Linked DNA regions of Alligator mississippiensis. Each later gene encodes a partner of the first gene's protein in a complex. Links are inferred from orthologs where the notes say so. Each region holds a gene or a part of one and is shown in the gene's direction. Other genes may lie near its edges. The genes, in order: DRC7, CCDC153, FBXL13 and IQCD.

What was found.
Region 2: DRC7 (region 1) and CCDC153 share a complex: the UniProt entries of both Homo sapiens proteins name them as parts of the nexin-dynein regulatory complex. The link is inferred for Alligator mississippiensis from reciprocal best matches to the Homo sapiens genes DRC7 and DRC12.
Region 3: DRC7 (region 1) and FBXL13 share a complex: the UniProt entries of both Homo sapiens proteins name them as parts of the nexin-dynein regulatory complex. The link is inferred for Alligator mississippiensis from reciprocal best matches to the Homo sapiens genes DRC7 and FBXL13.
Region 4: DRC7 (region 1) and IQCD share a complex: the UniProt entries of both Homo sapiens proteins name them as parts of the nexin-dynein regulatory complex. The link is inferred for Alligator mississippiensis from reciprocal best matches to the Homo sapiens genes DRC7 and DRC10.

What each region holds. Positions count from the first base shown.
Region 1 is NC_081833.1:38,303,378-38,311,236, forward strand, and holds the start of DRC7 (dynein regulatory complex subunit 7), read left to right. Parts: upstream 1-4,842; 5' UTR 4,843-4,933; intron 4,934-5,750; exon of another isoform or gene 5,751-5,855; intron 5,856-6,091; coding exon of another isoform or gene 6,092-6,109; exon of another isoform or gene 6,110-6,315; intron 6,316-7,590; 5' UTR 7,591-7,609; coding exon 7,610-7,737; intron 7,738-7,859. Other genes in the region: uromodulin, read right to left, coding at 404-571, 1,254-1,320, 6,092-6,109. UniProt on the Homo sapiens protein: Component of the nexin-dynein regulatory complex (N-DRC) a key regulator of ciliary/flagellar motility which maintains the alignment and integrity of the distal axoneme and regulates microtubule sliding in motile axonemes.
Region 2 is NC_081839.1:31,191,881-31,199,200, forward strand, and holds the start of CCDC153 (coiled-coil domain-containing protein 153), read left to right. Parts: upstream 1-4,301; 5' UTR 4,302-4,348; coding exon 4,349-4,416; intron 4,417-4,980; coding exon 4,981-5,060; intron 5,061-5,597; coding exon 5,598-5,660; intron 5,661-6,196; coding exon 6,197-6,316; intron 6,317-6,701; coding exon 6,702-6,794; intron 6,795-7,029; coding exon 7,030-7,160; intron 7,161-7,320. UniProt on the Homo sapiens protein: Component of the nexin-dynein regulatory complex (N-DRC), a key regulator of ciliary/flagellar motility which maintains the alignment and integrity of the distal axoneme and regulates microtubule sliding in motile axonemes.
Region 3 is NC_081827.1:24,344,829-24,352,174, reverse strand, and holds the start of FBXL13 (F-box and leucine-rich repeat protein 13), read left to right. Parts: upstream 1-4,334; 5' UTR 4,335-4,382; coding exon 4,383-4,457; intron 4,458-7,346. Other genes in the region: ARMC10 (armadillo repeat-containing protein 10), read right to left, coding at 326-485. UniProt on the Homo sapiens protein: Substrate-recognition component of the SCF (SKP1-CUL1-F-box protein)-type E3 ubiquitin ligase complex.
Region 4 is NC_081833.1:26,028,035-26,035,313, forward strand, and holds the start of IQCD (dynein regulatory complex protein 10), read left to right. Parts: upstream 1-4,262; 5' UTR 4,263-4,305; coding exon 4,306-4,866; intron 4,867-7,279. Other genes in the region: TPCN1 (two pore channel protein 1), read right to left, coding at 3,672-3,780. UniProt on the Homo sapiens protein: Component of the nexin-dynein regulatory complex (N-DRC), a key regulator of ciliary/flagellar motility which maintains the alignment and integrity of the distal axoneme and regulates microtubule sliding in motile axonemes.

The sequences.
Region 1 (7,859 bases):
CCCCTCTCCAGGATTGGCAGACACCCACATTTTCTTGTGGAAAGGAAGAAATTATTTTCCCTCATTTACTGTAGAAGGCAATACTTTTATTACAAGCACAGATATCACATGAAGCCTTCACCGCCATTGGAAAAGATATCAGCATCATATCAAATACCTGCCCCATAACACTGTAAGTAGCTGCTCCTAATTCAGCAAGTCTTTTCCTCATAGTAGTTGATGGAGACATGTAATGGAATGTAAAGGAGTGAGCTCTTACTCACAAAAACTTATGCATCGCTGATTCAATCAGTCTATATAGTGCCTCTCTACCCTGCCTTCAGACTTTGGTTCAGTGCCTGTGAGTAGGCTGATGCAGAGCCCAGCGTCACATCCACCCTCCGGTCTATCTCCCTAGGCCTACCTTGACAGAATGGCCCAGTGAAGCCCGGCTTGCAGATGCAGGGTGATTTCTCCTCAACTCTCTGACATTCTCCTTGGTGCTTACATGGATTGGGCCAGCAGACACGTGGACTTCTTTTGGGACGAAGGACAGCTTCTCCCATTCTGCCATGTAGCTTCTTCAAATCAGCTACATCAGAGGGAAGATGCATGTGTTTAAAAGAATGACTACTTGTAATAGTGGAGCAAGCTCCAGTCAACTCATGCCCAGGTTTGAGTTAAGGCTCTGCTCAGCAGGGGGTGGGACATTTATTTAAAGCAAAAACAGAGTCTCTCTTATTTAAAGTCACCATTTAGATTCCCAAACAATCTTTATGTCAATGACTGACCTCTGCTGAGGCATCAGAAATTAAAGATACAGTCACTCTTGAGCACCCGCCAAGAAAGCCTCCATCTTCCCTTGTTTGAGCTGAAACCCTGAACATCTAATCTCAAATTACATTCATGTTGCATGTTGCATGGACCAGTGTAGAGCTCAATGCACTAACTCTAGTATTGGGAACTATCCAGCTGCGCTAGCATGGTGCTCCTATGAGTTAACTTGCTTTGCTCAGAGACAGGGTGAATGTGATGATTTTGCAGCCTCTGAAGAACTGTCACCACTGGGTTGGCAGGTAGTAGGCTTCCTACTGCCAGGAGGAGAGAATGATTTCACTGTGCTCTCAAAGCTTTAGCGTAACAGCTGTATTTCTGTGTGTTTTTCCTCCTGTTTCCTCCCTTCCTGAAATCAATCCTTTCAAATTAGGATTTCACCCTCCTTTTTCATATTTTATCTGGATTTGTCCCTCAAGACGTCATTTAAAGAGACTCACTATGGTAGCTCTCACTGCCAGCCAGCCAGAGGGCAGACATCAGCATCCAGAATGTCACAGTCGCTCCCTGAAAAAACAAGCAGGTTTCAGTTTGTTTGGATTTCTAGCATGCTCATCAGTTATCTGTGGAGATGCTGATAGTCAGTTATAAAGAATCCTCTCATAGCATGATGAGATGACATACTTGATCTGTCTAGAAGGCAGGAAGCACACTTTCCTTTACAGTTATGGTTCTCCACTTTTTTCACTACCCCTCGTTGGTCTCAAGGTATCTCTCTGAAAATGGCAGCTCTTAGCTTTCATTCCTTTTAAAATTATTATTATGGGAAAATAATAGAGCAATTCTGCTGCAAAGAACTTGCAAAGCTCACAACAGGTTAGAATGGTTTTGCCACTATAGATTCCTATTTGAAATCTCTGGGTTTATTTTTTGAACCATGTGTAAGTATTTGCACATCTAACAGTGCTAATATTGTATGGCACTCCACAGCACTATTGAAAGGATCTTAAGGCACCCCAGGGTGTTGTGGCACCCTGGTTAAGAATCACTGCTTTAGAGTTAATTCATAGGCAACTGGTAGGGAGTGTACAGGGGGCCGGTGCCCCCCCCCCCCGACGGCTGACACTGACACTGTCAGCTGTGCTGGTGCCCCCCTGACAGGGCCACCACCGTCAGTAGCTTCTGCGGGTGCCCCCCCGATTCAGGAGGCACCAGTCACTCATGAGTTAATTAATTCAACATATGCAGCTATTTTTGTCTTGCAAGCTTAGCTTACCCAGATTTTGGAAGACATCTTTTACTCTAGCAAACTATGTCATTAACTCCCCATGTGGTCTCCCCATCACCCTGTTGTATTTTTGTACATTTCATATGTTATTTCTTCTACTTCTAATGCTATTTCTTCCATTTGAAGGCCACCAAGTCAATGCCTACCCTCCAGGCATGATCAGCAAAACCTCATTCCCATCACCCATCCTACTGAAGACAAAGTGCAGGAACAAATTTTGTTTTTCAGAAAAGCACTTTAGAGCTTAGCCAACCAGGGCCATTCCACTGACTCAGGGCTTGAAAGATCAGGAAACAGATAAAAATAAACCCAGATGACAAGGAACTGACCTCCTCCCCTTAGACCTCAGCCTCTGATCAAAATCACACAACAAAGGCTTTAGTAAACACTCACAAGAGAGGAAGGAAAGGGTTGTTCCTCCGTACAGGGTCCACTTTTATCTTTTAATGAAATATAAGTAAGTTTAAGTTACAAGGAGATCTTTTTCCTCCTACAATTCCTTCCACAAGTCTAAGGCAAGAGGGATTGCATAATAAAAGCTATGAACATGGTTTAAATTTATGTCACAAAGCAATAAAGTACAAGGCTACTTTCTCCTCTTCAAAGCTTATGCTTGCTCACAGCAATCAAGCCAGATGCCAGGGGTAGTTCCTTGCTTAAAGAGTTAGATGGGTTGGCACACATGAGCACTGTAAACCTGAATCCTGTATTTGAGATCTTATTCCACATTAGCATGAGCTCCTGGAGAGGGCATCAGATGGATTCTCCATTGCCCTGTGCTTCATGCAGTCATTTACATGAAAGCAAAAAGCTCCTGTTCTCATTTAGCAGCATTTGTATACTCTGAGCTAAACTTTTTTCCAGGGCTTCAAAACTGGAAAAGTAGGTTCTATTCTAGCACCTCCAGTAGACTGTGGGCAAGTCATTTATTTCTGTGTCTCACTTCCCCATCTAGGAAGTGAGGAGTGTTAACATCCACTCACTTTATGAAGCCCTGCACTTTGCTCTGTATAGAGGCACTACAATAGATAAATGGATGGAGCACTGTATAGAGACACTCCAATTATTAGTGCATTACTCCTACAGCTCTGAATTAGACCAGTCTTGATAGAGACTAGCAGAAGAAGTAGAAACCAGCTGCATTCCTTGAACTTGATTCCCCACTGCTGGTTACATTATGAAAGCACTGATATCAGTGCCAGGCACCTGTGAAATACTACTGTTCTAGCTCTTTGCATACACCTTGCCTAGGTGTAAAAAACTAGAAAAGGAGTAAAACAGTGGGGAATCAGGACCCTTTATATGAGGGGAGACCAGGATTTAGGAAATCCTGCCAATTGCTTTAATGACGAAAGAGAAAGACGGAGTTGTCTTCTTGGAAGCTACATCCTAGGAAGAAAAATCCACCACTTCAGCAATAATAATACAGAGATATTAATGTCATTAGCTTTCAATTTACTCACCATTGTCAGGATATTATAACCTCGCTTGCATACAACTGCCCGCTTTTCTGTTTCCCTTCACCCAGCTGGCCTCTTTATATCATCTTTCAACAGCTGATCCTTCCCCATCCCCCACCTCAAACTTCCCCAGTGATTGCATCAATCCTTTAATTGTGGCAATGGAGAAGTACTCATCAAGATCTCAACCCATGAACATCTTTCCTTCTAGCTCACTGGTCAGGGACCCTGACATAACACAGAGAAGTCAATGAAGAGAAGTCTTTGCACTCTCCCCTTCATGATTCTTTTTTGTTTGTTTTGGTAAGACAGATCCCAGTAGCAAGACTAGGAAGATACAACATTGGCATGGACTGGTACCAAATAAATCTACTACCAATGCAAATATATGCAAAGTTTGACTACATACATACTTCTACTCTGAATGGTTTTCGGTGGTTTGTAAAATGTAAAACATAGCAAGTACTACTGAAAGTCTCGCAAGCAATATCAAGAGATACAACTCTATTCCTATACGCTACACCTTTGCTCTCTGAGGGAATCCTCAAACAGTGGTAAACCACTTAATGAAAAGATTCTGAATGTTTTATAAAACCCAACAGTTTATGGAGTACAGACCAAATAAAATTATTTAAGATAGCATAATCTCATCAGAATTTATCACTACGTTCATAATATTATTCAAGACTCAGATTGCTGGAATCAAAAGACAGAAGAAGAATTTCAGCCGTTATTCACAAGAAGAAAAAAAAAACCTTGAAAATGTAAAACAAGTGCACACTACAGGCTCAGAAACCAGCAAAGAAAAATAACTCAACATTTTTTATTTAAAATAGTTGCCAAATTAATATTAACAGACTCCCCTCCCCCCCCCATAAAGTATATGCATCCATGTTAAAATGTGAGTAGTGAATATGCATTGCCCCTTTCATTGTTTCTTTTCAGTGTGTTAAGGCAAAAGGTGATGAGGAAAACCCTGATTCTGAAACTGAGTAGAAGGAAGGAGAGAAACTCCCTGGACTAATTTCTCAATCCAAGATGAATGAATTACAAATGGTAAACAGAGAGCACTGAGGTGAAAATTAGATGAAGGACCATGTTCAGCACAGGATGCAGTGTGGCCCTGCTCTAAGCCCAGCCTGTGAATATTTAGGCCTGGATTTTAAATTTTCTTTCCATTTTAAGCCTATGCAGGGGGTCGGACTCGATCTATTGAGGTCCCTTCCGACCCTAACATCTATGAATCTATGAATACTCTGCAGCAGATTTACATGGGAAAAACACCAGCTCTTTCTTAAGCCACCAGTCAGGCTCCTTTCTCTTACAGGGAACTACTAGAAACACTGAGACTACAACTCCCAGAAGCCTCAGCCCAGACACTACAGTTGCCATGGTGAAGGAGAGCAACAGGCTGGGAGCACAGGAGAAGCTGGTGAGGCTGTTCCTGGGGCTCCTGCCTGGGATAGGGGGAGGGTTGCAGGGAGAGGGATTTGGTTGTTGGGGGATTGATGCTTACCACCCGGGTTGGGGGTGTCTCAGAGACAATCGCTCAGTAATTGCACCCAGGAGGCACCAGGAGATGGAGTCTGGGGTGGTGGAGGTGTGTAAGTGGGAGACAAGGGCTATGCCAAACCCGGGAGAGAAGAAGGGGGTGGGTGTCCTTATGGGAAGGAGCAGGGGACCCCCAGGACTGTGGAGGAAGGAAGCGTCTATTGGTTGGGGCCACGGTGGAGGGGAAGGGCACTGGTGGAGGGGCAGGGAGCCGTTTGGGCAGAGATGTGGAGCACCACAGGGCATTGGGAAAGGCTGTGACTGATGCACAGGGCAAATTCAGCCCACATACGAGCTCCAAGGGAGCAGTTATATTCAGAGGTGAATTTATCTGTCTAAGCAAGGAAGACCAAGCTAAGAGATCTGGTGCAGCCTTCCCAGGGCAGGGAGCGGGTCTCTGTGCTGCGGAAAGATGAGACAGCTGTGAGCTATCCCTATCAGACAACATGAGTCTTGGGGAAACTGAACTGTAAATCAGAAAACCAGACTTTTAGACTACAACAACAGGGGAGGGAGTATTCAGGGCAGGGAAGGATCATCTTGAAAGGTGGGGGTGAGGCAAGGAGGGGCTGGAAGCCAGACACTGGAGGAGTGCCTGGGAGATAGAAGGAGATAGAACTGGGATCATCTATGACTGGGGGAGGGGGTGGGGCTTGACCTAGCTTTGGTCTTGATCTGCAACACCCCTGTGGCCATACCTCGGCTGAATGCAGAAGGAGTAGTTATGCGTTGGCGCAGGACAGTGGTTCCAGGAGATAGAATCAGAAGGGGGAGCTCTCACTGCACCAGCCAAAGGAGGGGACCTGCAGGAGAGAGTGCTGCTACATAACACTAGACAGAGGAGGGGGTTGTTCCTCACTATTTCCCTTTCACTTTAGCCCTGCTACTGCCCACAGCCCTGTTCCCCAGCAGAGGCTCAGCAATGCAACTAATAAATGCAATGAATAGAAACAAAGATGGAGCAAGGTGGGAAATAGGGGAGACCCAGAAAAGCTGAACACATACATAGAGAAACAGATTTACAGATATGGAATAGTACCCAGAGATGTACAGCCATAGGGTTGTCAATGATGAGATGAGCTGGTGCACTCCGGCGAGAAGCTCCACTCAGGTGGGTCTGGTCAAAGCAGAGTCCAAAGGCCAGGTCAGGAAGAAGCAGAACTCAGGGGAATGGCCCAGATAGAACATGCAGTGTGAAATCCCTTCTTCCTTTCTATCCTTCTGGACATTTCTAGCTTAGTTCAGTAAATGCCCTCACCCTTCTGCTTTCCCCACATACCTTTCATACTGCCAAGCTAAACATTGCCTGATAAAGAGGTGTGTGTCTTCATTTTCGCTTGCTATCTCCCCCACAGCCCAAAACACACTTGGGGTCAGTTTGACCTAGAGAAACAGTCCTTGGAGATACTTATGCTTCTCTGCTATTATTTCCATGTAAAAATTCTCTACTGAAGAACACTTACACAGAGGTCTCAGAGCCCTCTGCACAAACTTAACGCAAGAGTCACACAACTGCAAAACAGCACATTAGACAGGACTGAAGAGATTGGAAAGTGAGCTGTATGAGAACAGGTGGAAGGAAGTAGGTATGTTTGGTTTGGAAAAAAGGAGGCCAAGGAGGGACATGCTAGTAGTTTTCAACTGTTTGAAAGACGTCCTGTGGAGACACATTGTTTTCCCCTGACCACAAAGGGCAGGACACATGGCAATGGGTCTAAACTTCCCCAAAATAAGTGTAGAACAAATCTCAGGGAAAATTTCCAAACTGTTCGAGCAGTAGAATAATGGAACAAGTTGTACAGGGAAGCTGTGAAATCTCCTTCTTTGGAGAGCCTAAGCCTAAGCCTCTTTCTGGGATGGTTTAAGGATAGTGAATCCTCTGCCTGTTCAGGAGGTTGGACTAGATAACCGTTGTAGTTCCTTCAAGCCTTATAATTCTGTTATTCTATTAAATGATCATGGGACTCCAGCACTTTGGCCTACTGCTTAACAGAATTTAAAAAAGAAATATATAGGATATTTACATGGAAAAATGGGAACATCCAGAACTTTCATCATAAAGCCCGAAACGTTCATATATTCTTAAAGAGACCAAACCCTCAGGCTTTGCGGTACAAACCAAGCTACAACTAATGAAGATCAAGAAGAAATTCCCTGTTGGGAGTTTTATTCTGTCTCTGCTTACTGCAGGCTTTTCTTCCTTCAAGCAGCTGGTGATGAACATTTCTAGCGACAGATTATTGGACTATAGGTATCACACAAGTCTAATCCAGTCTAGCAGTTCCAATGAGCTTAATCAATCAAATCAGCAATAGGCTTCTTGCTTACTCATTTCCCAGCCATATATCTTACTCCTTTGCAGTCAGCATCCACTGTGTGATTAAATTCATACCCAGCATCAGGTTTTCCCAAGAATCCCACTCTGAGATAAATCAGCTCTTCTCATCCAAAACACATCTTCAAGCAAAGTATAACAGTGTTTCTGTAGCACCCAGTTCCACTCTCCCAGTCTCACTCTGGCAAGTGTTTTTCACCTAGGAGCCCTTGAGGGGACAAAATGGAGGCCCTGAGGGAGAATGAGGCAGAGGAGAAAGAGGAAGAGAAAAAAGCCTTTAAGATCGGTGATGAACTCCAAGACCTAGAGGAGAAGTTGTCAAAGATCCAAGTCCATATTCCAAACATACAGTAAGCAGGGTGCACGTGTGTATATATGTGTGTGTGAGAGAGAGAAATGAGAACTTATGCTGCATTTCTTATATGTTCCCCATTGGATCAGATTTACAGAAATCATATAAATGCACTCGCAG
Region 2 (7,320 bases), on another chromosome or scaffold:
GAAAGATTGCATTGAAATAAACACGTTGTAAACGCTGCGTTTTAAATCAAGGCTATTTCAACCACGCGTTTAAATCCATGATTGAAACATCGCATTTTAAACCAGCACAAAATAAATAGTATATGTAAGTATGAACAGTTTAAATGCCACATTTAAATCAGGGCTATTTAAGCCATGCATTTAACTCCGCGATTGAAATAGTGCATTGAAATAAGAATGATTTAAATATCTCATTTAAATCAGGACTGCTGAAACAATGCTTTTAAACCCACAATTGAAATAGTGCATTTAAATCAGTGCAATTGAAAAACTGCATTTAAATCGGGGCTATTTAAACTGTGCATTTAAATCTGCAATTTTAATATAGCATTTACATCATTGCCAGTTTTAAGTATTGCTTTTTAAAATGTATTTTAAATCTGGCTGGATTTAAATGCACGTGAAATATTGACCGGTTGCCATTTGTGCAGTTGCAGAGTCCCCATGAGGGGGATCCCTGGACCTTCCCAATGAGCTGTGTCCCGATTGCTTTGGGGTGGGAAGAGGAGGGACTCACCCGGGGGTTCATGCCTTCCCCCCTCCAGTCTCTGACTTGAAGGAGATGAAATAAATCCCTGCCCAAGAGCATGAAAGCCGAGACCAGCTAGGATCAGCCCCGAAGCTGCTGGTTTCCATGAACTCCCAGGAAGGGTCCCCAGGCCTGTGCTTACAGTGCGACAAGTGTCTGCGGCATTGGAGGATAAATCCTCTTTTTCTCAGAAACCGGCAGCAAGGTGAAATCTCTCGCTCTACAGCAAAGCCAGTTTGCCACAGACAACGAGCAGGAGACTGAGACTGTCAGTGCATCTGCCATACTGTGCAATGGCAGATACACCCACTGCAAAAGTCATCTCCCCAAATTAAGCTCCCAGACAGCCTGTGAAGGCCCCTAATGAAGGGCTGTGCAGGAGCCCCCGGGGGTGTGGGAATATGGGTCCAAGCTAAGAGCTGGGCTGGAACAGCACTGCAGCACTGGGGAAATTCAACACGCGGGGAGCTGCTGGCCACGGCACGCATCCCGGGGTAGTTTCTCATCCGCTGGGTGCACAGGTGGGATGTTCATATAGGAATGAGGTTAGTGAGGCCCTTGGGCTTGTCTGTTTTGGCACTGAGGAGGATTTTGACCGTGTGGCTTCTCACACAGCGCAGTCTGCCCATAGACCCCAGATTGCCCCATCAGAAAGCGAGTTGGAGAGCTGATTAAACGGCATCTATGTGAAGACCATGAAATGGGAAGAAGGTTAAGCCCCCAAATGTAAATTTGCAGTTGTACAAAATGGATTTAAATAAAGAGGATATTTTTAACTGTGATTTTTACCACCCGGGCCCTCTCCTGCCTGTTGCAAGGGGGGAAATGGCTGAGCATAATGCATGCTCCATCCCAGCAAAATCCTCCATGCCCAGTTCCTGCTGCAGTGAAGCCCCATTGGCACGGAGGGCTGCTGCCAGTGCCCAGAGCCCTCCAAGACAGGAGGTGCAGGGGACATGCAGACCAAGGACCTCAAGGCAAACATCTGCCCAATTGTTCCACTGGGTCCTTCACATGCATGCCAATCTGTCAGGAGCCTAGTTTCCAGGCTGAGCATCCATTCATTTGCCACCTGTGCATGTATTTCAAAGGGGCTCCTGCCAAGACCTGAGGGAAGAGGTTTGTTTGCAATTATAGTGGTGGGGGGAAGACTCGGTCCCAGATCAAAACACCCTCACACTTTTTGGCACATCAACAAATGATGGTAAAACTGGTTTAGAAGCAAGTGGAGGATTTGTTCGAGCTTTTTATTTAGCATTACTATCAATGGACCCTACTCAAAGTGACGTACATGTAGGAGGGATATGTGAAGTCGACAAAAATAACCAATGTCTTTTGTTTAAAACATCTCAAATATATATGTGTGTGTGTGTGTGTGTATCTATATCTATCTATATATTTTTTTTTTTGAGAGGAGGTATTTTCCCTTTTTTTTTTTCTTTCTTGAAAAACAGTTCAGGGAAAGCAAAACAAATCAGGGCAACATCCCCATTGAGCCAAATCACCACTTTTTAACACAAAAGGATTCATCAGAGAGATTTCTGCCTGTTCACACCGAATGCCCCAGTATAAAACCCGGCTGCTGCTGGTTTGGCAATCCCCTGCGTGCTCCGGTTCCTCTATGAAGGCAACAGAGCTAGCACTCAAGAAGGGATTTGCTGCTTCTTCAACCCAGCTCCTTGACCGCGGTTGCTTCATTAGTAGCCTCCCATCCCTCCCCCAGGGTTGCTCAGCTGCGAGCAGATTATTGTACAGATGTTGCAAAACAGGAGCAGTTCCCTATTTTGAAAAGCCAGGTTCCTTTTTCTATGCATCAAAAATTTCCAATTAAAAAAAAATCCGGAAGTGGAGCCAGGCCGATGGCATTATCCTCCAGGGGCCGAGCGCACTGGGACTGACAGAGCTCGCTTGGCTTTGGAAAACTGTTGACTGAAGAAGGCATCTTCCATCATGGCACAGATCCTGTGCCTTCAGGCCTTGGGCTTGCTGGTGTGGTCCTCCCTCTCCTCATCCAGTTGGGTGGGGCATTCAGGGGAATTCTTCACAACACTTTCTGCCTGCCCTGGCCCTGACCTGATGCGGGGTAGGTACTTAGTCAGGCTGTCCTTAGCTGGGGAACAGGACTGCCCTGGCCAGAAAGAGTCGTGGGAGCATGTCTCCACTGCCCCAGCATGGGACATGTAGTTAAGCTCTCCTGAGAGGCAGGCTTTGCATAAAATCAGCGACCAAGACCCACAGAGAGGACCTGCTGCTTCCCGCAGAGCCATAGTGGGGTACTATAATCATGCCTTGCAAGAGCCTTTCCTGCTTGGTGCATGGGGCTGGACCTGACGATCTCCCAAGGTCCCTTCTGGCCTTACAGTTGATGAATCTATGAATCAGTGTGCTCCTGAAGCCTGAGGAAGTGCCAAGAGGGCAGCAAAGACACAGCGCCAGGAGACATTAGCAGCAACAGATGAGTCTGGGGTCTCATCTCACACACCCTTTCTCCCCATGTGGAGCCCCATCTGCCTTCATGCAGCTCCTCTTCTGTCCGGGAGAAAACCTGCTTGCTCCACGCAGCCCAGCACGGAGCTCCGAGCCTGCCATCCATCTCCCTCCAAATGCTGCAGCCAACAGCGAGGACGGCCAGCTAATAAAGCAGCTCAAGAACAATGTGCAGGAGCTTGTCGGTGTCCCTCGGGGTGTTTTGGTTGACAACGGTGCCAAAAGCAAAAGCCCTGCTGTAATTCATCTCTCTGCTTCCCCTGTTCCCTTCCCCCTCCATCAGGGGTGGCCTGAGCCTGCAAAACCACAGTACTGCGCACGCTAGAGGGAGATTGTGGAAGGAGAAAGGTGAAGAGCAGAGCTGTGGTGCCGTTGCCTTGGAGGAGGTTGAGTCACAAAATCCAGATCTAGACCCCTAGATTGAGATGTATGTATTTTTTAGTCCCGATCTGTTCTCATGCACGCAAAGCTCCCGGTGATTCGCTCACACACACGGGGCCTGCAACCAGTGCAAGCAGCCAGGCTCCTACACCAGCCAGGGGTCTGGCTCAAGTCGTCACCTAGGTGCTCCATGGAGTCCCACCCTCATCTGACACATGGGGAAACTGAGGCACAGAGGGAGAGCAGTCCACATAGGAGGGGAGGCAAAGCACATGCTCCCATCTCTGCCCTAAACAAGGCAGATTGCAGTGTGGGGAGGCGCCATCCACCTGGGAAAGAGCAGGTTGAAGACATCCCGACAGGTTTCAGGAAAAGGCGAAGGGAATCGGTCACACAGCAGGGCTCTGCATGACTGGCCCCACAGCCTGACCTCCCCAAGGGCAGGAGCAAGGCCTCCGTGGAGAAAACGTGACACACATAGAAAGCACGAGTCCACGTGCTTGCATGCGTGTGTGCACATGTGTATCTGAGCCTGGGAGCTGTTTCTGTGTGCATGTGTGTCACCCTCTGCCGCTCTGCATGTGTACGCGGGTCTCAGAGCAGGCGTGCGGCTGTGGGCTGCTCTCCCAACCCGTCTGACCCTGGCCCAGCTGCTGTGCTGCGATGCTGGGAGATGTCACAGCCTTCCCCCTTCCAGCATCTTGGATGCAAAGGACGTGGGATCTGCCAAGTCCTGCGCCTGCCTCAGACCCTGCAGCCCAGCCCCTGGCTGCCAAGCTTCCCCGGTCGCTATAGCAGCCAGCAGCCTGCTGCCTAGCAATGCAAAGCTGCCGGCTTTTCCCAGGCTGGGATAGGCTCCCCGACACCAGCCTGCTGTGCCTTCCCAGCTGATTGGCTTTCCCCACGCCATTCATGCCAGGCCAGTTACATTTCCTGCTGGAAATCTGCAGCCTCGCACGCAAGAAGCCCTTCACTTCCAGGTACTTGAGGTTTGGGGGAGATTCATTGGAAACGATCATCTACAAGCCTCTTCCCCTTGCAGAGCTGTTGCAGCATGTGGCTGGTTTTTGTGCGGCAAATGGAGAGGAATAGCAGAAGAACAGGAGGCTGGGAGGGATTGGGGGGGGCTATGGGCTGGGCAGGGGACATTGGGAGTCAGGATTTGTGGGGGGAGGGCTTGGGTTGATTTGGTTTGTTGGGTTCGCCGCCTTTGTTTTCTGTGCCTCAGTTTCCCCAGCTGTGGCATGGGCCCAGCAATCTCTGGGGGAGGTGTTGCCTGTTAGAGGGATGATGTGAGTGATGGATGGTGCGCTTTCCCCAGTGCCCCATGGCAGAGGACTGCTGGGGGTCTTGGTTACCTTCCGTGCTGCCCTGGGACGGTACAGCCCAGCTGCAAGCGTGGTCTGCCTCCGTTCCCTCCATGCCTGCAGCCCGTGCAGGAAATGCCAGGCTGAAGTGGCCTTCCCATCCGGCCTCTCCTCCATGCAGCATCACCTAGAAGCTCTGGGGGAGCCTCAATACCCCTTGCCCGTTTCTCCTCACAGACAAACCAGGAGCATGGCCCCCAAGGCCAAGGGCAAGGGGAAGAAAGGAGGGAGACAGAAGAAGAAGCAGCCTGCAGCAGGTGAGCGGGAATCCCATGCATGGGCAGAAACCTTCCCCAGGTCCTGCCCCCCAGGCTGCAGGGATGCACCATGTCCCTTCTCAGCTTCCCCCATCCCAAAGCAGCCCAGCCCCTCCTGGCTGATGAGAGGCAGCAGGCAGCTGGAGCCAGGGGCCAGGACAAGCTGCCGACCACCCTGTAGGAGCCCCGTGCCTCCCACTGGGGTGTAACCAGCATAAGCAGGGAAACCCAGTGCTGGGGGTATATGGGACACAGGCACCAGCACGTCCTGCTTGAAGCCAGTGCCATGTTCCCCATTTCCCAGGTGTGGTGTGGGTACAGAGCAGTTTTGAGATTAGCCCTGGACTGGCCCCGATAGGGCTGGGGGAGACCCCAGCTTCACATGGAAGCTATAGGAAAGCCAAGGCTTCTGGATCAGAGCCCTGGGGGACCCTGAACCCCTGCCCCACACACTTGAGCTTCCCCAGCCCAGGGAGGAGGTGTCCAATGCCCAACGATGCTCCGTCTTGCATGCGTGATTGTGCTCTGTCTATGCAGCAGGCGAAGCTGAGGAGTCCCGGAAGACAGCTCTGGAGGTGGACACCCTCAGGAGGCACCTGGGTAAGCCCCTGGCCTGGGTGGGCAGTGGGGACATGAGCCCTGCCAGGTGACAGGAGGGGCAGACTGTGGGCAGGGTGGTACAGACATCTCCCCATCTAGGACCATTGCCATGCACTGACCCGCAGCTGAGATGTGCCGCTGCGAGGTGGTGGAAGCCCTGGGGCACAGCAAGCCCAGGATGGTTGCAGGGATCCCCTCTGGCCACAGAGCTGGTGAACGCCTGCAGGAATTGGCCCAGGAGCAAGGAGCTGGGGCCAGGGCTGGGGCCAGGGACTCTCACAACCACAGCAGTTCCCTGCACCACTGGGAGCACTACTGGTCCCATGGTCGCCCAGCTGAGGGTCTTCACTGACACACACTGCAGCCCCGTAGGGTCCAAGCCAGCACCCACCCCCACGCCAGGAGGGGCCCGTGGCTGCGGTCCCCAGACCTGGGCTCCTGGCAGCTGTGCCGGGGTAATGCTGCCAGCTTCTGGCCAGGGTCAGCCGACAAGAAGAGAGCACAGGGCAGGGTCCTAACCTGCCTGTCACTTCCAGTGCTCCGGAGGGATGTGGCCAGGCAGGCGAAGGCGGACAGCGAGGGGCTGCAGCTGCGGCTGCAGGAGCTGGAGCAGGAGCTGGAGACAGCACGGGAGGACAAGAGGGACATTTATGAAGGTGGGTCAGAGCTGGTAGGCGTGCAGGGGACGCTGGGCTGGGTGCAGCAGGCTGGGAGCAGTGCCATGGGTTGCCCCATATTTCCTTTGGCTCCATTCCATGCAGGGCCCTGCAAGACGAGCAGTTCTGCCATCATCATGCCACCCTAGGCTACCCCCAGCCACCCCCACCTAGCTACAGAGCCCCCCATCCCTCCCTGCCCTGCAGAACTGCTCTAGCTCTGCCCGCCATGGGGTTTCACAGGCCCTGGGAGCTGGGGATGGTGTGCCACAGGCTTCCTGGGTGGCCACGGGCAAGTCCCTTAGTGGCCTGTGCACCCGGTGTATAAGTGACACAGCCAGGGACTTGACTCTGGCAGCCGGGCTCAGCCCTGTTCTCCCCGCAGAGATGATCCGGCAGTACCAGGAGCTGCAGCGGCAGACAGAGACTCGCATCCAGTGCCTGGAGGCCGAGGTGACACAGCTCCAGGAGCAGCTCGGTACAAATCCCCCCTCTCCCTGCCATGGTGGGCTCTTCTCCCTAGCAGCACCACCTTGCTAGGCATTGCCAGAGATGTCAGACTAGACCCTGTGCCCGATGTCCCAGCATGATCCATGGGCATCGATACTCCAGCTCATTCCAGTTCCCACAGTCTCCCCCACTCCAGCCACCCCTTACCTCCTGCAGCTGCTCAGCCCCCAGCCCTGCTCCTTCTCACCCCCATCCCCCTGCAGCCGTGTGCCGCCAGCAGAGCCAGCAGGCCCGGGAGGAGAGTGAGCGGACGCTGGGCGAGAAGGACCGGAGCCTCACCGAGCTGCAGGCCAAGATCGACACCATGAAGACTGAGTACGAGCAGATCCTGCACGTGAGTCACCCCGCAGGGCGGTGGCAATGAGATTGGACCCCCCAGGTGCCGGCAGAAAGGGCAGGGAAGCTCATGGAGTTCCCTGCTGCCTCCTGCTCCCAGACATGGGGAGAGGAGGGTGGTGACCTGCAGGCACAGAAGCTATGTGTATGGGGGTGCC
Region 3 (7,346 bases), on another chromosome or scaffold:
AGTCACTTTCAAAAAAAGTATATTCAAACCCATTGCCAAGGGTCTTAAAAAACCAGTGGGTTACAGGACAGATGTACAGCAGTACGTATAGAGAGGCAAACAGCTCTTTGCTCGGAGACAGACAAATCGAAGTGACTCCGGATTCAGTCGCTGCGCTGGAGCCTGCGCTCCGGGATCGTCCCGGCAGAGAAGAGGCGCGGAGCTTCCATGCACCAAACGCCGCGTGCCCGGAACCGGAGCTGGGCTGCGGGAAAAGCCTGGAGCCGGAGCGGCGCCCGCCTGCCCGCCCGCCCCTGCCACCCCCCCGGCCCGGGCCGGGCCTCACCCGAGCGCCGCTCGCACGCACCGCCCCGGCCGGAGGTGCCCCTGGGGGCCGCGGCCGCCCCGCCGCTCCTGGCTAGCCGGGCCAGGCCATAGCAGGCGCCGGCTCCGAGCACCAGCGCCGCCAGCCCCGCGCGCCAGCCCAGCGCGCCGCTCTCCCCCATGCGCGGCCGCGGGAGCCGATCGGCCCCGGCCCGGCCCGACCCCGGGACACGTGCGGCGCCGCCGGAAACCGAGCCCGGGCGCCGCCTCCCCGGCCCGCGCGGGAGGGCTTTGCTATTCCGGGGCCTGTGAGCGGCACCAAGGGGCTGTGTTCAAGCAGCCGCTGCCGTGTTAGAGATCCCGTGCGCGGGGCAGCCCCCCGGCCGGCCGCCCTGGGCTCTGAAGTGCTGCAAAGAGCAACCGGGGTCTCCACCAGAGGCAGCTGAACGCCAGCACCGCCCCCGCCGAACGGGGACTCCGTGAAGCCCCCCTGTGCTCCCAGCAAGCTGCGGTGGTCTCAAGTTGCAGCAAGGGAAGCTGGAGCTAGATATTAGGAGAAACTTTCTCACTAGGAGGATAGTAAAACACTGGGACAGGTTATCCAGGCAAGTTGGCCACTCCCCCTCCTTGGAGGTTTTTAAGACCAGGGTGAACAAAGCCTTGGCTGGGATGGTGTAGTTGGGGCTGGTCCTGCTTGGAGCAGGGGTCGGACTAGATGTGACCCCCTGAGGTCTCTTCCTACCCTCATTTTCTATGATTCTGTGACACAAAATAATGGCTATTTTGATAAAAAAAAGATTTTGTGAAAGTAATCAGCTCCTGTCATTCCTTATGCCAGTTCCCTGCCCCTGTTTATCCCTGACATCTGTCAGCAGAGGGAGGTCCTTGCCTGTGCTTACCTTGAATGCACCGGGCTGCAGCCCCTCCACCACCTCCTCACGGCACTCCTCCTGAGGCTTTACCTGCACATCTCTCTGCACCTTTCACGCGCTCCCTGCCTGGGGCCTTCTGGTCAATCTTCTGGCTCCTTCCTGGGCTGGTAGATGGCCAAACTTGCCATCTACCAGCCCAGGAGGAGATTCTGGCCAGGAGGAATCCAAGCACTGGAGCCATTTTCCTGTCACTCTGCACATCTCTGGGCAGAGTTTCACTGACTGGCATCCACAGTCTCCTTGGAATCGTTCAAGGGGCAATGGGCACTGGCAGGAGTTCTTTGCTTGGTGTCTCCACTCAATTCCCTTCATATGAAACTGACCATCCCAGTCACACCCATTCTAATTTTTGTTGTTCCAAGTACTCAATTGTTATGTATCTAGTGGCCTCCCCAACTGAGGGATGCTCATAGCTCTTTTAGCTGGCCTAGGTGCACTGTTCTCTATGTACATAAAAATAGGCCGCTACCTCTGCTTAGCACAAATGCTTCACTATTTTCTGCAGACAAGCTTCTTTGGGCAAAGGTGATATCTTTTATTAGACCAACTAAATCATTGGAAAAATTGTTCTTTACAAGCTTTCGGGCCCAAACCCTCTTCTTTAGGCATAGGGAGAGTCTGCTGTTTGTGTGCTCTCCAGGGTGGAATAGAAGCTTGAGCCAATATGCAGGACTATGAAAATGCAAATCTGTGGTAGCAAAGATCAAAGGGGATGCCAGTTCATAGGTGCAAGACAGGTGGGGAGGGGGAGGGGTGTGTGGAAAGGAGGAATGTTAACTTGGGGACAGAATGTAGCTGATAAAAATGTAGAGAGGTTACCTGGAGTTATCAGATGGCAGGCAGGTTATATATATATGACTTAGTCCATGATTTTTTGTATCCAGTAGATTTATGAAGTGAAGTTCCTAGGCTCATCTATGAAAGGTGTTCTACAAATTCCCTTTGAGGATTAGAACTGAGAAATTGGAGAAAAAGTGGTTGTCTTTTGAGAAAAGTGACCCCACAGGTAACTGGGTATTTCTGTCTTTGATAGATTTTCGGTGTGCGTTGATTCTGGTACACAGTTGTTGTTTGGTCTCTCCTACGTATTTTCATCAGGGCAGTCAGTGCATTGGATGAGATGTTTTATGTTTCTGGAGGTGCAGGGGTAAGATCCAGGAATGGTGATGGTTCTGTTGTGGGGTGTAGTTATTGTGGGAGGGCTGGAGATGCATTGGCAGGTTTTACATTTCTTGTCTAGGCATGGTCTGGATCCATTTGGTGTGCTTTGGGCCATAGACGTTTGCTTCAGGTGATGAGGTTGGTGAGGTTCGATGTCTGTTTAAAGGCTAGGATGGGTGGTTCTGGAAATATCTTTTTAAGAGTTGGGTCTTCTTCTGGTATGGGTTGCAATTGTTAGAGGATTTTCCATATCCCCATCCATGGAAGGATGGTATGCAGGGGCAACATGTAGGGGGTGCATGCGGGTGCATGTGCACCCCCTGTGCATGGTGGTGCACCCCCAGGTGATCCATGATCACCCCTGGCCACTGCCAACACTGCCGGCGGTGCCTGTGGGTGGTCATCAACCCATGGCTGGCACTCGCCACCCCCTTCCCCCCGACAGTGCTGGTGGCATCAGTGGGAGCTCCCTGCTCACCGCCGCCACACTCCCACATCTGCCAGCGCAGCTGTACCCCTTCAGCCACCAGGGGCACACACTGTTCATGTTGGTATGTCATAACTAACGGTGTGTGGCTATATGCAACTATAACCAACACCCCTGAAACATGGAAAATATCACTATTTTTTTACACAAAACCCATGACATCCAACAGCTAACAGGGAGCAAGAAGAGGGAGGAGGTAAACACACTGTTTATTTTACGGATTTCCTCCCCTTCCTCCTGTATTTAATTGTTGTACCCTTACATAAATACCTAGCAAAACAGTGGGCAAGAAAGATGCAAGAGAAGAGAGTTTTAATAAGTGAAGTGGCTAGATGCATGCTTTTAAAGGAATCTAGTTCTTTTGGAAAATATGTATATAAACACACAGTCAAGGGACTTTAAAAAATCTCTTAAGGACACATTTACAATATGCTAAAGATACAGATCGTAAATCTTTCTCTTGACTTATAATCACAGTGACGTGTTAAAGTACTCTGATTTTTTTTCAGGTGGGTTTTACTGATGACATTTTTAAAAGTGTTGGAGAAAGTGGCACGATCTACATCTGTGAACTCTTCATGTGCAGTCCAACCATCTCCTCATTAGGTTGTAAACACTGTGGGACCATCTTTTTGTGTTGCATTTGTACAGTGCCCAGCATAGTCAGGTTCTGGTCAGTCAGCAGGACTCCTAGATGCAAAAATAGATAAATTAAAAAAAATTACAATGAAATCAATATTATATTAATTTCTCAAAGTAGGGCTTATTAATAACAACATCTACTTCCATACGGTAACAGGGCAGGCAACGGTTTGTCACAAGCATATTGCAATCAGATCAAAAACATTCCACGAGCAGTTGCTTGTTTGTTTGTTTTGTGCTTGTCCATTTTGTGAAAAATAAGGAAAATAAATAATTTAAAAAAGTATATAGCATATGAACAAATCAGATCCTACCCCTTTGCATTATGGATGGTGCTTAGCAAGTATTAGTGAATCCTCCCTGTATCCCTATTAGCTTGACAGTCCGTCTCCATTTTACAGATGGGAAAACAGAGACATTAGACTTTATGGCCAGATCCTGAGGAGGTCAACAAATACATCCTCCCGTGAGCAAAGGTCGCCCAAGGTCACAGGAGTCCAGGACGGAGCCCAGAGGAGGCTCCCGCTTTCTTTCCTTCTCAGCGTTTGTGAAAGGCTGCAGCACCCACGTCTCCGGGCACCCAGGCCCCGCCCGCTCCTGCACGTCATCCCTTCTGCCCAGGGGCCACCAGAGATGGGCGGTTTGCCACGCGACTCCGCTGTGCCCGCGGGGCAATCGCCGCCGGCTCCCCTCGCTCAGGGGACGCAGGCGGCGAAGGGAGGGAGCGGCGCGCGCACAGCCCCGGGGGGCGGGGCCCGAGGGACAGGGCGGGGCGGGCGGGGGCTGCAGCGTGCGGCGGGGCGCGTTGCCGGGCAACGGGCGGCCGCGGTGAGGGCCCGGCCCGGCCCGACCCGGCCATGTCGTCCCTGCGCGGCGCCGACCCCGCGCTCCGCGGGTACTTCCAGCGCCACGGGCTGCCCGACGTCTACGAGGTACGGCCCGGCGGGGGTACCCCGCTCCAGGGCGGGGGTGGCCCCGGCCCGGCCCGGCCCGGCCCGGCCCGGCCCCTGTCTCCGCCTCAGCGAGTCCAGGGGCCTCTGCCCGGGCCGGGAGTCCTGCCTTGCTCACACGCAAGCGCTGGCCTGGCCTGGGGCGGCAGAGGCCAACCCCCGAGCATCCCCGCCGGGCCCGGGGTGTCACGCTCACCTGTCTGCGCGGGGGGCGCGAGCAGGAGTCGCCACCTCTCGTACAGTTGCAGCCGCGTATTTAGTAGATGTCCCAGACATTAGGGCCAGAAGGGACTTTGCGACATTGTCGGGCCCAACCCCCCGCCTAAAGGGCGGGAAGTCAGCTGGTGTCACCCCGCTGCCAAATTTTTGGCGAGCGGGATGACAGGATGCTGCCGGCCCGCGCCTCGGACATCCCTGCACTAAGCCCCATTGGTAGTCAAGCTGTGCCCGAGGGTGAGCAGTGCCGGCCCCTATACAACCCTGACTTGAAACTTGCTATAAAACTGCCGTCAACCTGGACACAAGACCTTGCATCCTACCTTGCCTGAAGTAAAGCAGGGGGACCACGGCAGCCAGCATCCTGCTTCTGTCAGGCTGAGTACAGACTTCTGTGGAGGTTAAATCGGGTTCAAAATGGCCACCCGATTTAACCTGGGCTCGTCCCGGTGCCGGCCTGGTGACTGGCAATCAGCGTGAACTGAGACTGCACACAAACCAGTCTAACAACTGCAGAGCCTGGTTTACGATAAGCCTGGATCTACGTAGTATCAAACTTGTTCGATTTAGGTCAAACCAGCGCATGGAACTTGTGTACGCTTTCCCTGCACGGCCCGGGCCTGCGGGCCCCCAGCCCTGGGGCTCCTCTTTTCACACCCCTCCCCCCCTGCACTTGCACTGGGCTATTTTTTGTCCTCCTGGCCCCTTGTTTCCCACCTCACCCACTAGCCATTCCTTTCAACCCCCATCCCACAGCCGCGCCAGGTATAGCTGCTTTTAGCAGTGTTTCCTGCTTTCAGAGCCAAGCAAGTAAGTCTTGGTGTGGGGGGAGGGGATGAAGGGTTGGAGGTGTAGGTTCGCTGGGGGGAATCAGGGGACTAAAAGCCCAATCCCCCTAAATCCCCCTATGAACCCCGCTGGGCAGTAGGGAGGACTGAAATTGGCCGTCAGCGGCGTCTGTGGGCTGTCGCTGCTCACCAACTGCTGCCGGCTTCTGTGGGCAGTTGTTGCTCATCAATCGCTCCCCCTCACCACCACTGCCGCCAGCAGCATCTGCAACTGGTCCCCACTCGATGCTCGCCATCCCCCTTCCGCCGACACTGCCGCTGGCATCTGCGGGCACTCCCTGCTTGCCGCTTGCTGCCGACTACAAATGGTTCCCCCCCAGTTTCAGGAGGCACCAGTCGTTCATGGACCCCACAACCTCCCTGATCTCTCCAGACACTTCCGGACCCTAGCAAAACCCTGTGGCTTGTGCCTGACTGCTCCCTACCCACGAGTCATGCCCTGGCCTCTCACCCCTTGAGGGTTGCACCTGTCCCCTCCACCTCACCTGCAGCTTGTGCCTGCCCCCTCCACCCCTCATGGGTTTCACCTCCCCCCCATTCCCCAGTGGACTCCTGATCCTCCTGAACCCCCGTTGGCCCCCCATCCTGACTTACCCGATATCAGGCAGTCATTTTGAACTGATTTAACTTCCCCGAACGTCTGTACTTAGCCTAAAAGATTGTTACTGGACACTCAAAAGATACCAGGAAGAGGCCCTACCTCCCCTGCCGCCACTAGAGGAAGGTAAAACTTCCCACAGTTGGTACCAAGGTGTCTATGGGTTAAAATTCCTTCCTGACCCCAATTATGGTGATTAACCTGACCCTGAGTACAAAACAGAGAAGATTGCAGCCTCCTTTGTCTTAAATGGTAGAAAAGTTGTTTTTGGAAACTTCAGGTGGAAGACTATAGCGTGCAGGGTAGCAGAGCACTCTCCTCAAGTTGCAGTACTGCATGTTGTAATTGCCATATGGCCAATAATTATATCAAATAATTATAATATCAATAATTATATCAAAGATGACTATGGCAAATTTTAGAATATGCTAGGCCATATGTTGGTCACCCACAGTGTCAAAAGGGGTTTGAAGACTTGTTAAACTGCTGAGCTAGTGAGTAGAATTGCATGCCATAGTGCTAAGGAGCATAGGGGAGACATGGCTTACTTGAAGTCACAAGTGTTCCAGGGATAATAAAATAAATACACACTTTTGGCTTTTGGATTGTTATCTGATCCTCCCATCCTTTCTCTTCTCTCAGCCAGTTTTTTCCTTTTGAAGTTCAGTTGAAACTATGCAGAAGTCGTATATCAGTTTCCTTAATAGTAACAAATTAGGACACTGTGTACAAATAAACTGCCAAAAATAGACCCAACTTGTAGCCAGTTATTGCAGCCTGGATTTCCATGGGAACATTAATAAAGAGGTTTTAAACCAGTAAAAATAACTGTAGAGCAGCACCTCCCTCAACAGTGGTAAAGCATCAGGGGTGCACGTACACCCCCTGGGAGCGCTGGTGCACCCCCTGACTGACTGCGCTCCACACTTAGGCAATGGGCAGGGTGGGCACCGGTGCCCCACCCATGAGCGCTGGCCAGAGAGTGAGCGCACTGGGTGTAGTGCTGCGGTCGCTTCCAGGAGCACCATGGCCGCTTCCCGGTGGATGAGTTCTGCTGCGGGGGGACTGCCCCCACCCCCCAGTCAGCAAGATTGGCCATGCGAGGACCCCTTCCCCCGGTTGCTGACTGGTTGCTGGTGGGGGCACGTGCCCCCCGTGATTAAGGTGACACCAATCTCCCATGTCCCCCAGTCCTCCTAAGCTTTACTT
Region 4 (7,279 bases), about 12 Mb from region 1:
AGGTGATACTTCCTCTTTATGCGGCATTGGTCAGGCTGTAGTTGGAATACCGCGTCCAGTTTCGGGTGCCGCACTTCAAGAGGGATGCAGACAACCTCAAGAGGGTTCAGAGGAGGGCCACTCGTATGGTTAGGGGCCTGAAGATTAAGGGCCCTGGATCTCTTCAGCTTCTGCAAGAGAAGGCTGAGAGGTAATCTTGCGGCCACCTACAAATTCTTCCGGGGGGGGGGGGGGGCAACAAGGAAGAGATGCTCTGTTAACCAGGTCACCCCTTGGAGTAACTAGAAACAACAGCCACAAACTGACAGAGAGCAGATTTAGGTTAGACATCAGGAAGAACTTCTTCATGGTAAGGGTTGCCAGAATCTGGAATGGGCTTCCAAGAGAGGTGGTGTTCTCCCCTACCTTTGGGGTCTTTAAGAGGAGGCATGCACTAGGGGTGTGCAAAATGGGCCCTATTCAATATGGATTCAGCCCAAATAGGGGACAGTGATTTGATTTGCTGATTCTGATCACTATCCCCGATTCAATTCAACTGAATCAAAATCTCGGAATTAGCATTGAATCTTCAAAATCAGCTTTAAATGTTTTTTCTACATACCTTGAGGTACCAGGTGCAGCTTGTGAACACTGCGAGCCGAGGCAGATGGAGTTTCCCACAGGAGCATGACGCCCCCCCTCCCCGTGCTCGGCGGTGAACCCAGAAGTGGACCAGAAGCACTTCCAGTCCACTTCCAGGTCTGCTGGGAAGCGCGCTGTCCCCGCCCCCCCATGCCCGCTTGGCTTGGCAATCGGCCACAGAAGGACCCCGGGTGCTCCCCCAGACCCAGGAGTCACCAATCGCCAAGCTGAGGGGGGCCCCCCCCAGCATGCTCTCCGGCAGACCCAGAGGTCAACCAGAAGTGCTTCTGGTCCACTTCCAGGTCTGCTGCCGAGTGAGCTGGGGAGCCCCTCCTGCACTCCTGTGGGACCCTCCATGTGCCCCAGTATTGCAACACTGATGAACTGCCTGCTACCTAGAGGTATGTAGAAAAAACATTTAAAGCTGTGTCTATGTCCAAATCGCTGAACCTCTCCAAATCAATTCAGAGGGTTCCGATTCGATTCAGAGAAATTAAAGGGTCCTCCGATTTGATTCAGATTTGGGGATTTGGCCGCCAAATCTGCACCAAATTGAATCACGCCCTGAGCAGCCGCCCACTCTTTGCAGCCCCAGGATTGGTGCTGAGCTGGCAGGGCTCCCTGCACCCCCATGCAGCTAGGCCCCACCCGCGCTCCCAGAGACTTTGCAGCCAATTTCGACCTGGTTAGGCATGAGATACGCCAGAAGGAAAAATCCAGAGACTTGAGAGTTTGAGGTGAGACTTGAGATGCAAGATCATGAGTCGAACTTAATTTTACTTAGACATTGCAACTCTCGCGATAATTTTACGAGAGCTGGCATTACTGTAAAAGACACACAACAGAACAGAGAGGTTTATACATCAAATCACCAAATTTGACCACCCAAATTATCCAGTAAAGTCACAGAATGCTGGGGGACTAATATTAATACTCTGAATGATATCTAAGCAGAAAAACATATTACATTACCAGAAGCAGCTAACAGACAGCAGAATTGCAGAAGGAAGGCTAGCTCAATTAGCTTGCAAATAAAGAACTTTTTCTGCAAGCATCTAGTTGGTCTAATAAAAGATATCACCTCTACCACGCGTTCTGATTCCTTTTGCCTCTAGACCAATACAGCTACAACCTGGATACCTGTCACATGGAAGATATTGAATTTTAGCCTATTTTAAAAATTAAATCTTCATAATTTTACAAGGAGGAAGTTTTACCACCTGAAACCTGAGACCCTGCTCCTGCCATTGTTTGAGATAATTTGTATCATCACAGAGCCCAGCTTACCACAAAAGAAATTCTTGCTCAGAAGAGCATGCCATCTTTTTACTCTTCTGTGAAATATGAAACATCATAAGTCAGAAGGAAATATGACTCTACATCCTACTTGCCAAAACTTGGAGGTAAGCAGACAACTCCAACTTTTCTCTGAGCCTAATCTACATAAAATGAACTGTTTCAAACAGGAGATTTTACCACACCTTCAACTCTCCTATGAAATATGAACTTTTATTTCTACCTAGAAGCACTTTTACAGTCTTTTCTCCTATACCTGAAGAAGGGTGCTTGTGCTAAAAGTGACAAGTATGCTGAAAGTTTACAAATAAAGACATTTTTGCAAACATCTAATAAAGAATATCCCCTCTACCATTAGTTCTGATCTTTTTGCCTCTACAGCAGTGATTCCTAAACTGACAGATTGCACATCACCAGTGTAAAAATGATACAACCTTAAGTACCACCAGAACATTTTTGTCATATAAAGTAATTATAATAAATTTGTTAAAGCAGACCACGGACAGGCTGTTGGAATACCAGTGGTGGTATACGTACCACAGGTTGGGAACTGCTGCTCTAGAGCAATACGGCTACAACTTAGATACCTAGTTTAATTAGTGGAACATCAAGACCATTAGAAAAAAGAAAGAGTCCGTTAACATCTGTGGAATCAAGAGATTAGAAGGACTTGGGTAGATATGAATTAGCCATGAAGTCAAGTGACTCCCTCAGCACTGCTGCCACTAGAAATGCTGCTGCCACTTTCAGGCAACTAGTTTTAAATTTGGGGGTGGGGAACAGGAATCAAAGGGATTTGCGACTGCATCCGTGCACCCCCCGTGGGTCTCCCCCCACTTGTGCGTGTGTGCATACACATACACACTGCAGACTCAGGTCACAATGATATATACAGAAATGTGCGTGTGCATATAAACACACAGGACTCCTAGGAGAAATGATCTCTTTTATTAGACCAACAAGATTTTGGCAAAAAAAGTGTCTTTAACTGCAAGCTTTCAGCCACAAACACCCTTCATCAGGCATTGGAGAAAAGATTGTAGACATTCTCCTGGGTAGAAATGAAAGTTCATATTTCATAGGATTTCACAGAGGAGTCAATAGATGGAAAACTCCTCTGGGCAGTCAGCTCATAGCTGGTCTGGAGCCTCTCCCCTCCTGTGAGGATCTGCGATGATGCAAATTACCTCGCAAGCTTGCAATTAAAGATTTTTTTTTGCAAAAATCTTGTTGGTCCAACACAAGATATCATCTCTACTATGAGTCCTGATTGCCTTTTCCCCCAGACTAATAGGGCTACAACCTGGATGCCTACAGACATGCGCATACACGCATACGGACACACCCCCCTATGGGTATATAATCATCTGTGCCCCGAGTGTGCAATGCCGCCGTTCCCATCCCTCGCTTTCACTTCCAGAAAACCAACACCGACGTCTCCCGATAACTTCATGGTCAGCCGCCTGCCCCGCCCGGACGCAGCACCGCCACTCGTCACGCCAGGCAGCGCCGCGCGCGCGAGCACCTCCTCGCGGGAAGCGGCGCCGCACTCCGCCACCCGCCGCCCCGCCGGGCGCCTGCGAGGAGGTCCCCACTCCGCACAAACGCGCTCAGGAAAGCGCCATCTCCAAGCCCCGGGCTCCGGACTGCGGCACCCGGCCCCTCTCTTGCACACACGCAGAGGCCGGGGCACAAGGTGCGCCCGCGCCCGCCCCCGACGCGACGCGACGCGACGGGACGGGACGGCAGCTTACTGTGGTCGGGCGGCCCGTCCCCGGCCGGCGCGGCGCTGGGGGCCGCGGGGCCGCCACCGTCCTCCAGGGTGAGGATGAGGGGCACGTCGTCGTCCGGGCTGCCGGCCATGCCCCCCGCGGCCGCGCTCAGCGCTGCGGGCCCCGAGCGCCGCCCGCGCAGGCTGCCGCCACCGCCACCGCCGCCCGGGGCATGTCGAGGCAGGCGCGGAGCGGCCGCCCGCCGCCAGGGGGCCCCCGCGCTCACGTGAGCCCAGGGGGCGCCTTGCGCCCGCCGCCGCCGCCTCGCGCCCCGCGCATGGCCCCCGCCCGGCCCCTCTCCGCCCGGCGCCTAGCCTCAGCCTGCCCCAGCCCGCCCCCCTGCAACACCCATTGGCTGATGCCCGCAAGCCGCTGGCTGATAGGCTCTCGGCGACTGCCGGCTCGCCAATCCCCGTGCGGCATCTTCTCTGCTCCCGGAGGTGGTCAATCTGGGTTCCTCCGCCCCCCCATCCCGTATTGGCCTTCCATTGGCTGCAGGTCGCGCTCATCATAAGAAGCCGGCGTCTCCCATTGCCTAGGGAGTCCGGTCCCGCCTCCCGGTGAAGAACGAGGCGAGCCGTTGGGCGCGCCGTCCCCTAGCAACCCAGCGACGCCCATGGCGGCCGCGGTGCGGCGGCAGCGCGGGCAGATGCCGGAGGCCGCCGCGGAGGCGGAGGCAAAGGCGGAGGCCGGGCCGCGGCGGGGCACCATGGAGACGCGGCGCGTGATCGCGGTGCTGGACCAGACCATCGCGCGCGCGGAGCACGTCAGCCTCCTGCCGCACGTGATCGCCAACCTGCGCGACCTGTCCCGCGCGCTCGGGCCCACGCTCAGCCGCGCCCTGGCGGAGCACGACGCGCTGCGCCGCGCGGGCGGCCCCGGCCGGAGCCTGCAGCGCTCGGGGCGCTGCATCACGCGGCTGCTGCAGGCGCAGCCCGGCGCCGCCCAGGCCGTGCGCGACGAGGTGTACGCCCGCGACCTCACGGACGAGCTGTTCGTGCGGGCCCTGACCGAGTTCCGCGGCTTCCTGCTGGAGCGGCTGCTGACCGGCCCGCGGGAGGAGGAGGCCCGCGCGCGGCTGGCGGCCGACGTGTCGCTGCGGGACCAGCGCAACACCGAGGCCGTGGCGGTCCTGCGCGCGGATCTGGCCGCCGCCCTCCACAGGCGCGACGAGGAGGTGCGGGGCCGGCTCGGGCTCGGGCTCAGGCTCGGGCAGAGGAGTGGACGGCACAGACCTCCCTGCCTCTGCCCCGGGGGAAACGGCCCCTCAGGAGCAAAATAGCTCCCTGCAGAGCGTCTCTGGGGGGCCTCCACCGTCCCAGGGTGCTTTGCTTCCGGCCCCGCGAGCGCTCGGGGCTGGACGATAAACGGCGCAGCGCCGAGGCTGCTGTCCCAGGGCCCTAGATGCCGCAGACTTGCTGCTTGACCTGGGCCGGCCTCTGTTAAGGGACTGATGTTCAGTTTCTCCAGGGAGAGTCTCTGTTCTCTACCAGGAGTGTACACAAGTTTGTAATTCTTTTTTTTTTCTTTTCCCCAGAGTAAAAGTGGCTGCTCTGGGACAGGAATAACTTGGGGACAGCCCGAGGGAAATGGCTCCCAGGAGACGGCACTTATGTACGGGCAGCCAGTGTGCTTTGCTGCTTTTCCGTCCCCCTCCCAACCAAGCAGGGGGCAGAACACGCCCCCTGAGTGCTTCAGGCTGAACAAGCCCAGCCATGAAGCACTTGGGAGGCATGTTGTGCTCCTGGCTTGTTCTCTGCCTGAATTGAACTGCAGCACTTGAATGCAGGCAAGCATAGAAGCAGATTTTCTTGGCTAAGGGGAGGGTGGCAGGGGAGGCTGAAGGACTCTTCTATGCAGGGCATAAAGTCCCTGCCCCTACTTTTTCCTGACCCTGCCGATCCCTTCACTTAAGGAAAAAAAGCCAGCTAACTTCTCTCCTGGACTGCGTGCTCTAGGGCCCCCTGGCTGCCAGCATCATCGCTGCAAGCTTTTTGCTTCTATGAAAATCTGTACAGGTCATTTTTTTCCAATCAGGAAAACAAACCTGGGAGAACTGGCTAGCAGCACACCGGGGCACTGCCAGGAAACTGGTTAACCACAAAGCTAATCCACCCATTGCCTCTCATAAAGGGGAGGTTGCTGGAGCTTACAAGGCCCCTGGTATATGTTATATAATACAATTTCCTGCTGAATCGCACAAAAAATGTAGACCATCCACATGTGAACTAAGGGTCACGAAATGAAATGAGAGAGTAGTAAGTTGAAAATGAACAAAAGGAAGTTCTTTGTCACATAGTGGGCACATATACACATGTGCATTTAATGTGCAGTATATAAGGCACATTCAGGGGGCGCATCTAGACGTGCGCCCCTTAACGCACCTAAAAATGGTGATGTGGGGATATTCAAACCTAAATTTGATACCTGCATAAAGTGGGTATCAAATTTATACATGAATAGCTAAGTCGCATTAGCGAACGCAAAGACATGCTAATGCGCATTAATGCGGTGTGTACCTATTGACTTGGGACTAACTTTAGTCCCAAGTCGGTCCACACACCCACGTTAACGCGCCTTAGCAAATGCATGTGTAGACACGCACCTAAATCACCTTAATGTGTATTAAGCTAATGCACATTCAGTTTAGGTGTGCATAAAAGCACATGTAGACATGCCCAGTGTGTAATTAAAGTGTGGAACTCATTGCCACCATATGCGGAAGCTGACAGTTGAGCCAGATTCAAAAAGGGACTGGACAAATTCTTGGAGGAAAGGGGCATCAGTAGCTCGAGCACAAGAGTCAGGGTTACAGCCTCTGAATAAGAACTTCCTAGATCTTAAATTTTGGAGTCTGCAAATGGGAGAGGAACAGTGGGAAAAAAACTGGTCATACCCGGACAGACAAGGTACTTTGGCTAAATGTGGTATCTTTTATTAGACCAAGTAAATAGTTGGAAAAATTGTTCTTTACAAGCTTTTGGTACAAACACCCTTCTTCAGGCACAGGGAGGGTCTGCTGGTGTTTGTGTACTCTCCTGGGTGGAATAGAAGCATAAGCCAATATGCAAAATGCAGGTCTGTGAAAATGCAAATGTGTGGCAGGGAAGATCAGAGGGATAGCAGTTGAGAGGTACAAGACAGGTATGGAGGGGGAGGGGGCAGGGAAGAGGGGAATGTTGCCCTGGTGATAGAATATAGCTGGTAAAATGTAGAGAGTTACCTGGGGTTATCAGATGGCAGGCTAAATATAGACATTGGATTTATGGCACATTATAACCTGCATGACATCCGATAACCCCAGGTAACCTCTACATTTTACCAGCTATAGTCTGTCACCAGGTCAACATTCCCCACACCCCATACCTGTCTTACACCTGTTAACTCCCATCCCTCTAATCTTTCCAGCCACGCATTTGCATTTTCACAGACCTGCATTTTGCATATCGGCTTAAGCTTCTGTTGTACCCAGGAGAGTACACAAACACCAGCAGACTCTCCCTGTGCCTGAAGAAGGGTGTTTGTGCCCAAAAGCTTGTAAAGAACAATTTTTCCAACTATTTACTTGGTCTAATAAAAGATATCACATT